3 linked regions of the Xenopus tropicalis genome follow. The protein of the gene in region 2 purifies or fractionates together with the protein of the main gene of each other region. This does not show direct contact. Links are inferred from orthologs where the notes say so. Each region holds a gene or a part of one and is shown on either strand. Other genes may lie near its edges.

What was found. The genes of interacting proteins can lie anywhere in the genome.
Region 1: the proteins of mpdz (region 2) and amot purify together in Homo sapiens (affinity purification with mass spectrometry; 4 studies listed by BioGRID and IntAct, with this or other methods). This does not show direct contact. The link is inferred for Xenopus tropicalis from reciprocal best matches to the Homo sapiens genes MPDZ and AMOT.
Region 3: the proteins of mpdz (region 2) and plekha2 purify together in Homo sapiens (affinity purification with western blotting; 3 studies listed by BioGRID and IntAct, with this or other methods). This does not show direct contact. The link is inferred for Xenopus tropicalis from reciprocal best matches to the Homo sapiens genes MPDZ and PLEKHA2.

Annotation. Positions count from the first base shown.
Region 1 is NC_030684.2:52,198,556-52,202,799, forward strand, and holds the start of amot (angiomotin), read right to left. Parts: upstream 2,801-4,244; 5' UTR 2,632-2,800; intron 1-2,631.
Region 2 is NC_030677.2:124,856,838-124,860,867, reverse strand, and holds part of mpdz (multiple PDZ domain protein), read right to left. Parts: intron 2,590-4,030; coding exon 2,466-2,589; intron 1,220-2,465; coding exon 1,073-1,219; 3' UTR 1-1,072. UniProt on the Homo sapiens protein: Member of the NMDAR signaling complex that may play a role in control of AMPAR potentiation and synaptic plasticity in excitatory synapses. Promotes clustering of HT2RC at the cell surface.
Region 3 is NC_030679.2:131,935,290-131,939,571, reverse strand, and holds the start of plekha2 (pleckstrin homology domain-containing family A member 2), read left to right. Parts: upstream 1-1,482; 5' UTR 1,483-1,838; intron 1,839-4,282. UniProt on the Homo sapiens protein: Binds specifically to phosphatidylinositol 3,4-diphosphate (PtdIns3,4P2), but not to other phosphoinositides. May recruit other proteins to the plasma membrane.

The DNA.
Region 1 (4,244 bases), on a different chromosome or scaffold from region 2:
TGTGAGAATTTGGTATTACAGGATAGGATGGGGGCCAGTAGGTGCTCATACACTGTGAGAATTTAGTATTACAGGATGGAATGGATTGTCAGTAGGTGCCCACACACTTGGACAAATCAGTACTACAGGATAGAATGGGGACCAGTAGGTACTCACACAATTGGACAAATCAGTATTACAGGATGGAATGGGGGCCAGTAGGTGCTCACACACTAAGAATTTAGTATTACAGGATGGAATGGATTGCCAGTAGATGCCCACACACTTGGACAAATCAGCACTACAGGATAGAATGGGGACCAGTAGGTGCTCTCACAATTGGACAAATCAGTATTACAGGATGGAATAGAGGCCAGTAGGTGCCCACACACTGGGAGAATTTAGTATTACATGCGGGAACTGGGGCCAGTAGGTGCCTACACACTGGGGCACATCAGTATTACAGGATGGAATGGGGGCCAGTAGGTGCCTACACACTGGGGCACATCAGTATTACAGGATGGAATGGGAGCCAGTAGGTGCCCACACACTGTGAGAATGTAATATTACAGGATGGAATGGGGGCCAGTAGGTGCCTACACACTGGGACACATCAGTATTACAGGATGGAATGGGGGCCAGTAGGTGCCTACACACTGGAGCACATCAGTATTACAGGATGGAACTGTGTGCTAGTAGGTGCCTACACACTGGGGCACATCAGTATTACAGGATGGAATGGGGGCCAGTAGGTGCCTACACACTGGAGCACATCAGTATTACAGGATGGAACTGTGTGCCAGTAGGTGCCTACACACTGGAGCACATCAGTATTACAGGATGGAACTGTGTGCTAGTATGGTGCCTACACACTGGAGCACATCAGTATTTTCAGGATGGAACTGTGTGCTAGTAGGTGCCTACACACTGGGGCACATCAGTATTACAGGATGGAACTGTGTGACAGTAGGTGCCTACACACTGGAGCACATCAGTATTACAGGATGGAACTGTGTGCTAGTAAGTGCCTACACACTGGGGCACATCAGTATTACAGGATGGAATGGGGGCCAGCAGGTGCCTACACACTGGAGCACATCAGTATTACAGGATGGAACTGTGTGCCAGTAGGTGCCTACACACTGGAGCACATCAGTATTACAGGATGGAACTGTGTGCCAGTATGGTGCCTACACACTGGAGCACATCAGTATTATCAGGATGGAACTGTGTGCTAGTAGGTGCCTACACACTGGGGCACATCAGTATTACAGGATGGAACTGTGTGCTAGTAGGTGCCTACACACTGGAGCACATCAGTATTACAGGATGGAACTGTGTGCCAGTAGGTGCCTACACACTGGAGCACATCAGTATTACAGGATGGAACTGTATGCCAGTATGGTGCCTACACACTGGAGCACATCAGTATTATCAGGATGGAACTGTGTGCTAGTAGGTGCCTACACACTGGGGCACATCAGTATTACAGGATGGAACTGTGTGCTAGTAGGTGCCTACACACTGGAGCACATCAGTATTACAGGATGGAACTGTGTGCCAGTAGGTGCCTACACACTGGAGCACATCAGTATTACAGGATGGAACTGTATGCCAGTATGGTGCCTACACACTGGAGCACATCAGTATTATCAGGATGGAACTGTGTGCTAGTAGGTGCCTACACACTGGGGCACATCAGTATTACAGGATGGAACTGTGTGCTAGTAGGTGCCTACACACTGGGGCACATCAGTATTACAGGATGGAACTGTGTGCTAGTAGGTGCCTACACACTGGAGCACATCAGTATTACAGGATGGAACTGTGTGACAGTAGGTGCCTATACACTGGAGCACATCAGTATTACAGGATGGAACTGTGTGCTAGTATGGTGCCTACACACTGGGGCACATCAGTATTACAGGATGGAACTGTGTGCCAGTAGGTGCCTACACAAGGACACACCAGTACTAGAGCAAGGAATAGGTGCCAGTAGGTGCCCATACCCTGGAATACAGCATGGTTACAGGATGAAAGATCCCACATAGACAGGCTGAGCCAAGACACAGGATGTAACAAGATGTATGTATAACAGAAAGGAATTAGAGACTCCTGCGCAGGGTACAGCAGTAATGCTGCATGTTACTAGTGTGCCAACTGGTACCCTTGCCTGGCACACACCAACATTACAGTATGAGGTGGGAACTGGTGCCCACAGTGCAGGGCACGGTTACATTACAGCAGGTTATGGTATGCCATTAGGTTCTCGTAAACTTGGACATATAAATATTATAGCATAGGGGTGCCAGTAAGTGCCCATGACTAAGGGCACACAGTAAACTGTACAGAGGTACGAACATGAAAATATGAACTGGATGTGGGCATTACAAATGGTACAGAACAGCTGCAGTTTAACCTGTAGGTATAAAATGCTTGCACCCTTGAGCACTTTTCTATACAGTATACTGTATAGCACTGGGTATGGTAGGCTAATAGCGATATATCGGTAAAGTTCTACATAAATACATACATACAATTGTGTATTGCCAGGGACGGCGGAACAACAAGAGCGCGTAAACCAATAATTAGAGCAAAAGGCAGCGGCGTGGCAGCTACAATCCACTGCTAACTCCATAAGTGCGCACTTACTGTGAGAGCGCCTAGCTTCTCCTTTCTCCGGTCCCGCCGATAGATATCCTTCCGACACATACAGCACAGCCCTCCAGTCCCTCACGGCAGCCCAACACACTCTGCCAGCCTCAGTCACCGCGCTGTCACCGCCCGCTCCTGCCGATTGGCTAGCACGCCTCCTCTTGTCCGTGTCCCATTGGCCATTTGGGCTGCCACTCCGGAACACACAGGAGCCTTTTGTGCTTCCAAGGTTTATTCAGGGCAAGGTTTAGTAACCCTTCCAGCGCTGGGAAGTAACTCAGCAACACAATTCTTACAACAAAGCTCTCTTGAGTTATACGCTGTCGGAGAATGTGAGGAGAATTAGATCACACTGGCTGGCTACCCACTGTTTGGGGCTATCTGCCTTATTTTATTGTGCATTATAAATTAGTACTTGGAAGCTTGGCAAAGTTCATAGGGCATAAGGACATAGGGTATCTTGCTGACGGATCATTTACCTGCATGTTTGCGTTACAAGACCTGTAGCAAGTATCTTGGCACTCAAGGCAAGGGTCTATCTCCCCAAATGCTTTTAATACACCATTACCCCTATGTAGTAGAGTTAGAGATGGGCAAAGACCAGGTAAGGTAACAGGGTGGGGAGGAGAGACAAGGATCTGGAATTAAGGTGGCAATACACCGAAAGATTCTCACTAAATGCCAGGATACAGGCTGTTGAGATGAGGCCAGCAACAATGCACCAACATGCTCATCCTCCTGGCTGGATTTTTAACTTGCATCAGGCAGATATCGGTTGGGTAGGCTCCTCTGAGGGCCCCATACACAGGCGATATACTGCTGACTGACAGAGAACAGCTTTTATAGGCCCCTGGATGGCCCCCATGAAAATGAGCCTTTGAACTAGTGTGCTGCTGTGTGTGAAATAGTTGCCCCTCTTGGTACCTGCCTGTACTGCCTACCTCTAGTTCTGGCCCTGTTGCACCCTGGATGGGTGTCATAGTCAATTGGGCTTGACCCCAGGCCAAAACTTGCAAGGCGAAGGAGACTCCAACGACCTGGTGGGTCTCACCCTAGCTTCGGTGACGTTGGACCTACCCATGCCTTCGGGTAGGACTCACACGCGATGATTCAGCATCATTGGGTTAGGACTGGGATTCAAAATAAGCCCAGGCATTTCAAACACACAGAGGCCCAAACAGCCCTCCATTAGCCCTATAAATAGTGACTGTTTATTTGGCATCTTGCAGCAGCCCCTCTGGCATTTGCCGGAATCCATATATTGCCAGTCCGTGCCTGTATTACATGGTCTTGCTTTTATACTAGTTAGGTTTCACAGTGGTAACAGTCATATAACATTGTACAGGGCTCTCAGATTTTTATATTTAAAATAGGTGAAAGAAGGAAGGGGAAAAATATAATTAGAGAGTGTCATAGAAACAATTTAAGCAAACCACACCCATTATAAAGGCCACACTCAGTTAACATAAACAAGATGAAGGCATAAATAAGGGGTTCATTTTAAGCCATTTACAGGTTTCTGGCTGAAAACCAGTACACTTGCAGCAAAAAAACAGGAAGTACAGAAGCCTTTAGGCTGTTATACTTGGTTAATAAAGAAATACTTTCTG
Region 2 (4,030 bases):
CACATTGTTAAAATTGATTTGTTAAGCACTTAAACTCAGCAAGTGATAGCTCTTTGAACCTAAAAGGATTAGTATTCTATTCTGTGGGTTATATTAAATTCACAGTGTTTCGTATAATAAATGGGCCCCCTTATTTTATGTAGGGCCGACAGCATGTGGCTAATTTAAGACTGTAAGAGCAGAACAGCAAGATGCTAAAGTCCGAGCAAGATATCAATAGCAAGAGGTTATATTTTTCATGAAGGGTGCACACCACAAAATATAATGTGACTTATTGCAAAACTAATTTTTAATAGAAAAGAGAACTTGGTGTTATTATTAATACTAAATGCAGAATGCACTGCTGGCCAATACTCGAAAACACATTTCTGATTTGTCACCCTTAAATGGTTTTATTTAGCATTGCAGTAAAGGTAATGATTCCGCTCCCTGCTACAAACCATTACCTTTACTGCTTTGCTTATGGTTTGAAATAAACCTCCAGTGTTGAAACTGCACCAACTAATGTGACATATGTTATAGCAGTTAAGGAAGTAAACACGTCTAAGATTATGAAGAATTTATATTGAAATACTACTTCAAAAAAATGCCTAGATGCATTCTCAGTTCCCATGCTACATTTGGGAGACATTCAGAATATGGAGGTGTTTTTCAGACAATGTAAGTTTTGTCCCTAAAAACTTTTCTATAAAACTACCACCTTTTTTTTTTCATTTTAAATACTCAGTTTAAAAGGACTTTTGTTATGTTTGCCCAAAACTTGTTTCACATTTTACAGTCTTTGTAGTAATCACAGTAGTTTTAGAAGATCCTGGCTGATTTTGCCAGGAGCTTGACTGTTCACAATAAAAACAATCTGTAGTTGATTAACAGAAATAGCAGAATTTCATATTAATACTATGATGGAATAGCAAGCTAGTCTAATGACTAAAAATACTTTTTTCGATTGCTCGAAATACTGATTGCTGCACAAATGACCTAAAACAGACTACTTTCTCCTTACATACAAATATAAATCAAGAATTACCAAAGGATCCCTAACAAATGGGACCCAGATGGTTAGAAAGAGGCATTAGGAAAGCACAGTCAATGTAACTGTTCCTTTTGTTCTCTTAAGGATGGACACCGCTTCTTCATGGGTCACTCCTTCTAAGCTCTGCCCATTCACTGCAATAATTTGGTCACCTCTGTTCAAGCGTCCATCTTCTGAGGCTGCACCCTGCAATATCAAAGTTGTATCAGCTCATCATATCCAAAATCAACAGTCTTTAGGTTTGTTGGATCAATAACTCAAACTAGAAGATGCACCAACATTATACAGCAGTGATTCCCAACCAGTGGCTCAGAAGCAACATGTTGCTTACCAACCCCTTGAATGTTTGCTCCCAGTGGCCTCAAAGCGGGTGCTTATTTTTGAATTTCTGGCTGGAGGAGAGTTTTGGTTGAATAAAAACCTGGTGTTCTAGCACAGTCTCATGTAGCCTAACAGCCCACATTGGCTACCAAATAGCCAACCACAGCTCTTATTTTCATGCTTGTGTGGCTCCCCAACACTTCCACTTGAATGTGGCTCACAAGTATAAAAGTTTGGGGACCCCTGATATACAGGGTATGGAGCCTTTTACCCAGAATGCTGGGAACTGTAAATTTGAGTACTATGACTACACTTAACTAAAGCGTATTAAAATATTTTTAAAATACTGAACAATTTATTTTGGCAGTGTGAATGCCCTAAAAGCTTTATAAATGTGGTATATTCGCTAACTGCGAATATGTATGCGCTCTGAGTCTGAGTTACACCACAACTTTAGTGGCGGAAAAAATATTCACTAAAACCGATTTTGCAAATTTATATTCGAAGAGAGAAAATAAGTGCAATAGTCACACAGAGGGCGTGCCCATGCAAATTGCAATCTCTGTTGTGTACAATTTGCATTTCACTGCAATTCGCAAAAAAAGGAAAGACAAGCATAGCAGTGCAAAATGGAATAACATGCGCAAACTACCATTTGTGAAAATAAACCTGCACTGCACAAACTTTATAAATGACCCCTGCTGTTTTCTCAATCATTCTATATATTAAATTACCCACATGTATTGAAAATAATTGACATATATTTGACATAAAGGTTGTTGACTTTTCACAAAAAAATTTCGAAAGATTTGAGCATAAAACCACTAATATGTATAAATGGATTATATTTTCATGTTTTAATTTTTCCAATATGAAATGCCTTTATTAATCTTTTCTTGTGAGTTTCCCACCCAGGAAAATATCTGAGCCTTCTGCCTTCAAAAAGAAATAAATCAGCTTTTAACATGCATGCCACAGAGGAACCTTTAACTTGACATCAAGAAGCATTAGGCCAGCTGCATCACTGTGAATGGTTTTTTCACACTTCATATAAATGCCTTTATGATGAGCAGGTGCATTTAAAAGGTTGATTCATAACATTTGCATTTACCTTAGAAAACACTGTCTTGACATATATTGGCAGGTCACCATGAGGGCTACCGTGCCCTCCTACAATACTGAAACCAAGGCCATCCGGTCCTCTTTCAAGGATGATTGTCTTATATTGTGGTGGTCTAGGGTAAAAAGAAGAAAATATTATGATACAGTGCTTTGACAGAAAAATAATAAAGCTAATGAAAAGTAAAATATCATGCACATACAGGACCATAATTAGAAAATGTTAAGGGAAATAATATTCTACACATTTCCCAAATAGTCTTTTACATTATGATTAGTAAGATTAATGGCAAATCACCACTATATCCATTAAAAAAACCTTGAATGGAAAATGGCACCACCTAAAATCTGCTGAAGATGCATAAGAAGTCAATTTAAAGTGTTTGTTCAGCATTCAAGACATTTGATGGTCAATCATTTTTTATTCTGTACTTTTCCAATCAATTTCAGCGATTATAAAAAATACTAATTTTGTTTGCAACTGAGTTGTTTTGCCTTGACTGCTAAACCATTTTAGTTTTTTTCTTAAAAAAAGCAAGGGATAGTAGAATATTAATAAATCTACTCCTAAACCTGTACAGTCAAGCTGTATCAAAAACAGTATGTTGTATAGCAATACATTCCAAAACTCTCAGGCTGGCTAAATAAAAATACAAAAACTGTAAAAAAAATAAAAAGTTTTTTTTAAAAATTGACCACAGATAAAATGTATTTGCCATTTGATAAATACACTTCTAAAAATTAATTGAAAATAAGAAAATGTATTGTTTCACAGAACCAAAGTCTAAACTAAACTATAAGGAAATACCCATTTATTAGAGATACATTCTGGTTTTAATCCATAAATTATCTAAAAAGAATATATTGTTCTAAAAAGTATTAGTTGAATTTAGTCCTGCCTGAAACAGCAGATTTGTCATGTTTCCTATTTAAACATATTTAAATATGTATAATTCTGGTATCTGTTGCAAATATGTGAAATACAGATTTCATCTAACAGACAAAAAGGCCTTTATTCATAATATGCATGCTTTGCTAACATAAGTAATATAGAACCTATGTGCTAAAAAAATAGAATGAGGGTCAGACTCAAAACTAGCTTGAAGTGTTGTAAAACAGCAGTGACATGTGTGCAGGAAAAGGAAGTGAATAAAAGCACTGATTGGGTTAAGAAAAACAAATCCGATGCGACTGGAATGTGAAAAAGGGACATGGTTAAAACTGGAATGTGGAGAGGTAAGTTTAATATAAAATGGTTTGATGAAGAAGAGCACCTACAGATTTCGGTACAAGAATGAATGAAAGTTGGAATGTTATTTAAGAACTGATTCCTGTTCTAAATAGAACTACTTACATACCTGTATCTAAAAGTAGGTGAACCATTAAATTCTGCATGAGAACTTTTTTTGTATGTTTGAGTGTGCAAATATAATGTTGCTTCTTTCTGAAACCACCTTGAGGTGTTTCAAACCACTAAAGTCACTAACATCTAAACCTTTAAAGGAAGTTAACAGAGTAAAATTGATAGCAATGTGGACATACACTAAAGCAAACTAC
Region 3 (4,282 bases), on a different chromosome or scaffold from region 2:
GAGATACTCAGCATCATTATACAGAGCAGCCCGGTCATTATCAGTGTATAGAGATACTCAGCATCATTATACAGAGCAGCCCGGTCACTATCAGTGTATAGAGATACTCAGCATCATTATACAGAGCAGCCTGGTCATTATCAGCGTATAGAGATACTCAGTATCATTATACAGAGCAGCCTGGTCATTATCAGCATATAGAGATACTCAGCATCATTATACAGAGCAGCCTGGTCATTATCAGCGTATAGAGATACTCAGTATCATTATACAGAGCAGCCTGGTCATTATCAGCATATAGAGATACTCGGCATCATTATACAGAGCAGCCTGGTCATTATCAGTGTATAGAGATACTCAGTATCATTATACAGAGCAGCCTGGTCATTATCAGTGTATAGAGATACTCAGCATCATTATACACAGCAGCCTGGTCATTATCAGTGTATAGAGATACTCAGCATCATTATACAGAGCAGCCTGGTCATTATCAGCGTATAGAGATACTCAGCATCATTATACAGAGCAGCCTGGTCATTATCAGCGTATAGAGATACTCATCATCATTATACAGAGCAGCCTGGTCATTATCAGCGTATAGAGATACTCATCATCATTATACAGAGCAGCCTGGTCATTATCAGTGTATAGAGATACTCATCATCATTATACAGAGCAGCCTGGTCATTATCAGCGTATAGAGATACTCATCATCATTATACAGAGCAGCCTGGTCATTATCAGCGTATAGAGATACTCAGTACCATTATACAGAGCAGCCTGGTCATTATCAGTGTATAGAGATACTCATCATCATTATACAGAGCAGCCTGGTCATTATCAGTGTATAGAGATACTCAGCATCATTATACAGAGCAGCCCGGTCATTATCAGTGTATAGAGATACTCAGCATCATTATACAGAGCAGCCTGGTCACTATCTGTGCATAGGAATATTAGTCAGAGTTATACAGCAGTTGAAAATTAAAAAAGTCCCATGAGAAAAATTCCTTTTTATTGAGCAATGACTCTGAAACCTGCCCTTATCCCCCTCCCCACTGTCGGTACAGGTTTTTTCTGGCACGTCACTCACTGGAACAGGTGAATCTGTCAGTACGACCCACCCCGATTTATTGATCCACCTGTCGCCGTGGGAGAATAAGCCACATTGGCAGGAGAGTGGCAGAGACTAAGCGCCGGGTGCTGCAGCTCTCTAGGAGGTTAATGTACCACAGTTCCAGCTCTGCTTCCTGCTTTACACAGTACAATCCTGCCCACATGTGTGTGTGTTTGTGTGTCTGTATCTTGTGTGTGTGTGTGTGTGAATAGGGGTGGGTCTGAGGCGTGTCTGCCTTGGAGATTGTCAGGGGAAGGTTCAGAGAATAGGAAACAGACAAACAAACACAGGCGGAGGGGAGAAGCTGAGGGTTTTCTCTCTTACAGGAGAGAAGAGAAAGAGTGCAGTGGCACAGTTAGGGCACAGCAAGTTGGGGTAAGGCAGTGGCATCAGGAGCTCCACAGTTGTGGGCTTTACAGGGGAACCTGGGGGCAAAAGTGAGGTCTGGGTTCTGGACTAGAGAAAGAACTCTGTGAGTGTGCAGCTAGAAAGAACTATGCAAGAGCTGTGAGGGAAGGGAGACTTGGGCAACACTTGTGGCGCTGCAGAAAGTCTCTCCAAGTCATGCCCCGTAGTCAGACTCCTGGAGCTACTAGAGGTTATCTCAGCGCAGAAAGAATGTAACATCACTTACAGTCTATATTTAGCCCCACATTTTTTGTCCACCGAAGAGAAGTTACTAAGGCAAAATGGTGAATTTAACCTCAAGAAGAAAATTAAGGTAGGACTTTGCTATTTTTAACTGCTACTACAGACCTCTGGGGCGGCAGCTTGCAGGAATAGAAGTGGGGGAAAATATCTGTAGCTTGGGGCAGAGTATGAGCGAAATGGAATAAGGGTTTGGGGAGCTTGAACCTCCCTAACCCAACACCAATGCATTTACTTCCACAAATAGGATGGAGATATTATCCGTGGAATTGGCACTGCGTTTATACTGCTGTATATATATATTTATACATAATATAGATACTGTATTTATACTACTGTGTGTTCTGGGGGCATCCTACATGGACTTGGCACTGCATTTATGCTACCATATATTCTGGGGTTTTTATACATAATATGGATACTGTATTTATGCTACTGTGTGTTCTGGGGGCATCCTACATGGACTTGGCACTGCATTTATGCTACCATACATTCTGGGGTTTTTATACATAATATGGATACTGTATTTATGCTACTGTGTGTTCTGGGGGCATCCTACATGGACTTGGCACTGCATTTATACTACCATATAATCCAGGGTTTTACACATAATATGGATACTGTATTGATGCTACCATGTGTTCTGGGGGCATTCTATATGGAATTGGCACTGTATTGTCTTCTCATGTGTTCTGGGGTATTAAATAATAAACGTTTAACTGGCCCTGGGATACTATGAAGAAATATGTATAGGTAATGTCTTTACTCCATGGGTCCCCCTAGGCTGCAGATTCCTGGGAGAAGCACCTGGAGTTCTAATTATTATCATTGTCTTATTATCTAGTTTCAAACTGCCCCATACAGACACACATAGTACCGGGTTACTGTCCAACAAAAGAGCGACTCCCTGAGTATTACAAGGACAGGCTCAGACAGTGGTTGACTTTTATTTAGTGTTGAGTGATCTATATACATAATTAGGGCAAGCTCAGGCAACAATGGGTATTTTTTATCAGGACAGGCTTAGACAATGATGGCGGTTTCATATCGGGTGTACGGTTATTCCTTGCTGACTAGCAGAATAGGCGTAGCTGATATTGGGGCTATTAATACTGTTTAAGGCATCCTCTGCTGATTATCAAGATGGGGGTAGACAATATTTGAGGCTCATTCTCTGACAATTATCAGTTCAGGCCAAGAGAATATTGAAGCTATAAATATAGTGTGAGGCATCCTTATTATCTACATGGGTTTGACAGTGTGGAAAGGGTTCAAATAAAGTGTCTGGTATCTTCTGCAGATCTTCAGGGTGGGGTTAGACATGCTGTGGCTTTAAATAAGGCGTAGCGCCATCCTCTGCTGATAAGACAACATTGAGTCTTTAATTAAAGGGGGCTGTTCACTGCGGGACCCCCATTTGAAAGCCAGAAGGAGTCCAAAGAAGAGGGCAAATAATTCAAAAACTTGAAGACCAGTTGAAAAGTTGCTAAGAACTGTCCATTCTATAACATACTAAGGGCTCTGGCACACGAGGAGATTAATCTCCCCGGATTGCCATCCCACCGGCGAAAATGTAAGTCGCCCGTGGGATGGCACACGCTGCACAGGCGATTTTGGCAAATCTCCGAAAATGCCTCGCTGATTTGCCAAAATCAACTGCGCAGCGTGTGCCATCCCACCGGTGACTTACATTTTCGCCGGTGGGATGGTAGTTCGGGAAGATTAGTCGCCGGTGACAAGGGAGATTTGTCGCGGGCGACTAATCTCCCCGTGTGCCACAGCCCTAAATCATTGGGACAATCTAGTTAATGCTGGGGTAAGTAATAGCCTGTATATAATCAGGATAGGGTTAAATAATCATAAAGAAAGGCTTAGACAGTGATGAGTTGAATTTCAGATTGTAAGAACAGGTCTGGACAATGACTGCGGTTATTATAAGGTAATGTTCCCGTGCAGATATCCTGATAGGTTCAGACAATGGGCAGTTTCCTGCACATGTAGTCCCTTGCTACCTGCTGGTTTTCTCTCCAGTGTGGGGAAATGATGCAGACATGCTTTCGCGAATATGGATTAATATCCAGTGTTGAATGATCTCCTGATTATATCAGAGACTGGCTCTACTGGATCACCGTATGATGTTGAGACACGTCTTGCCTGCAGATTATCTGTACAAGCAAATACAGCGCCGAGTTTCTGCCTAGACTAGATGACCAATCATATGCACATTAGCAGGACAGACTGAACAAGTCTATACAATAACATATTTATGGGATACCCCTGCTTTTTTTTTTAGACTTTCCCGAAAGCCTTTCTTCAGGTACAGTTCTGGACTTGTAGCATTAGTTGAACCTGACAATTTATTTTGAATTGTTTGGGGATGAATTTCCATGGGTTATTTCAGGATAACATTGAGAAGTAGAGGGGCTGTGGGCTTGAAATATGTGAATGGGAAGAAGGAGGTCACTGGCACATTGGGTCTGTAATAAGGACCTCTAGCCAGCCCTTTGCAGCTCCTGA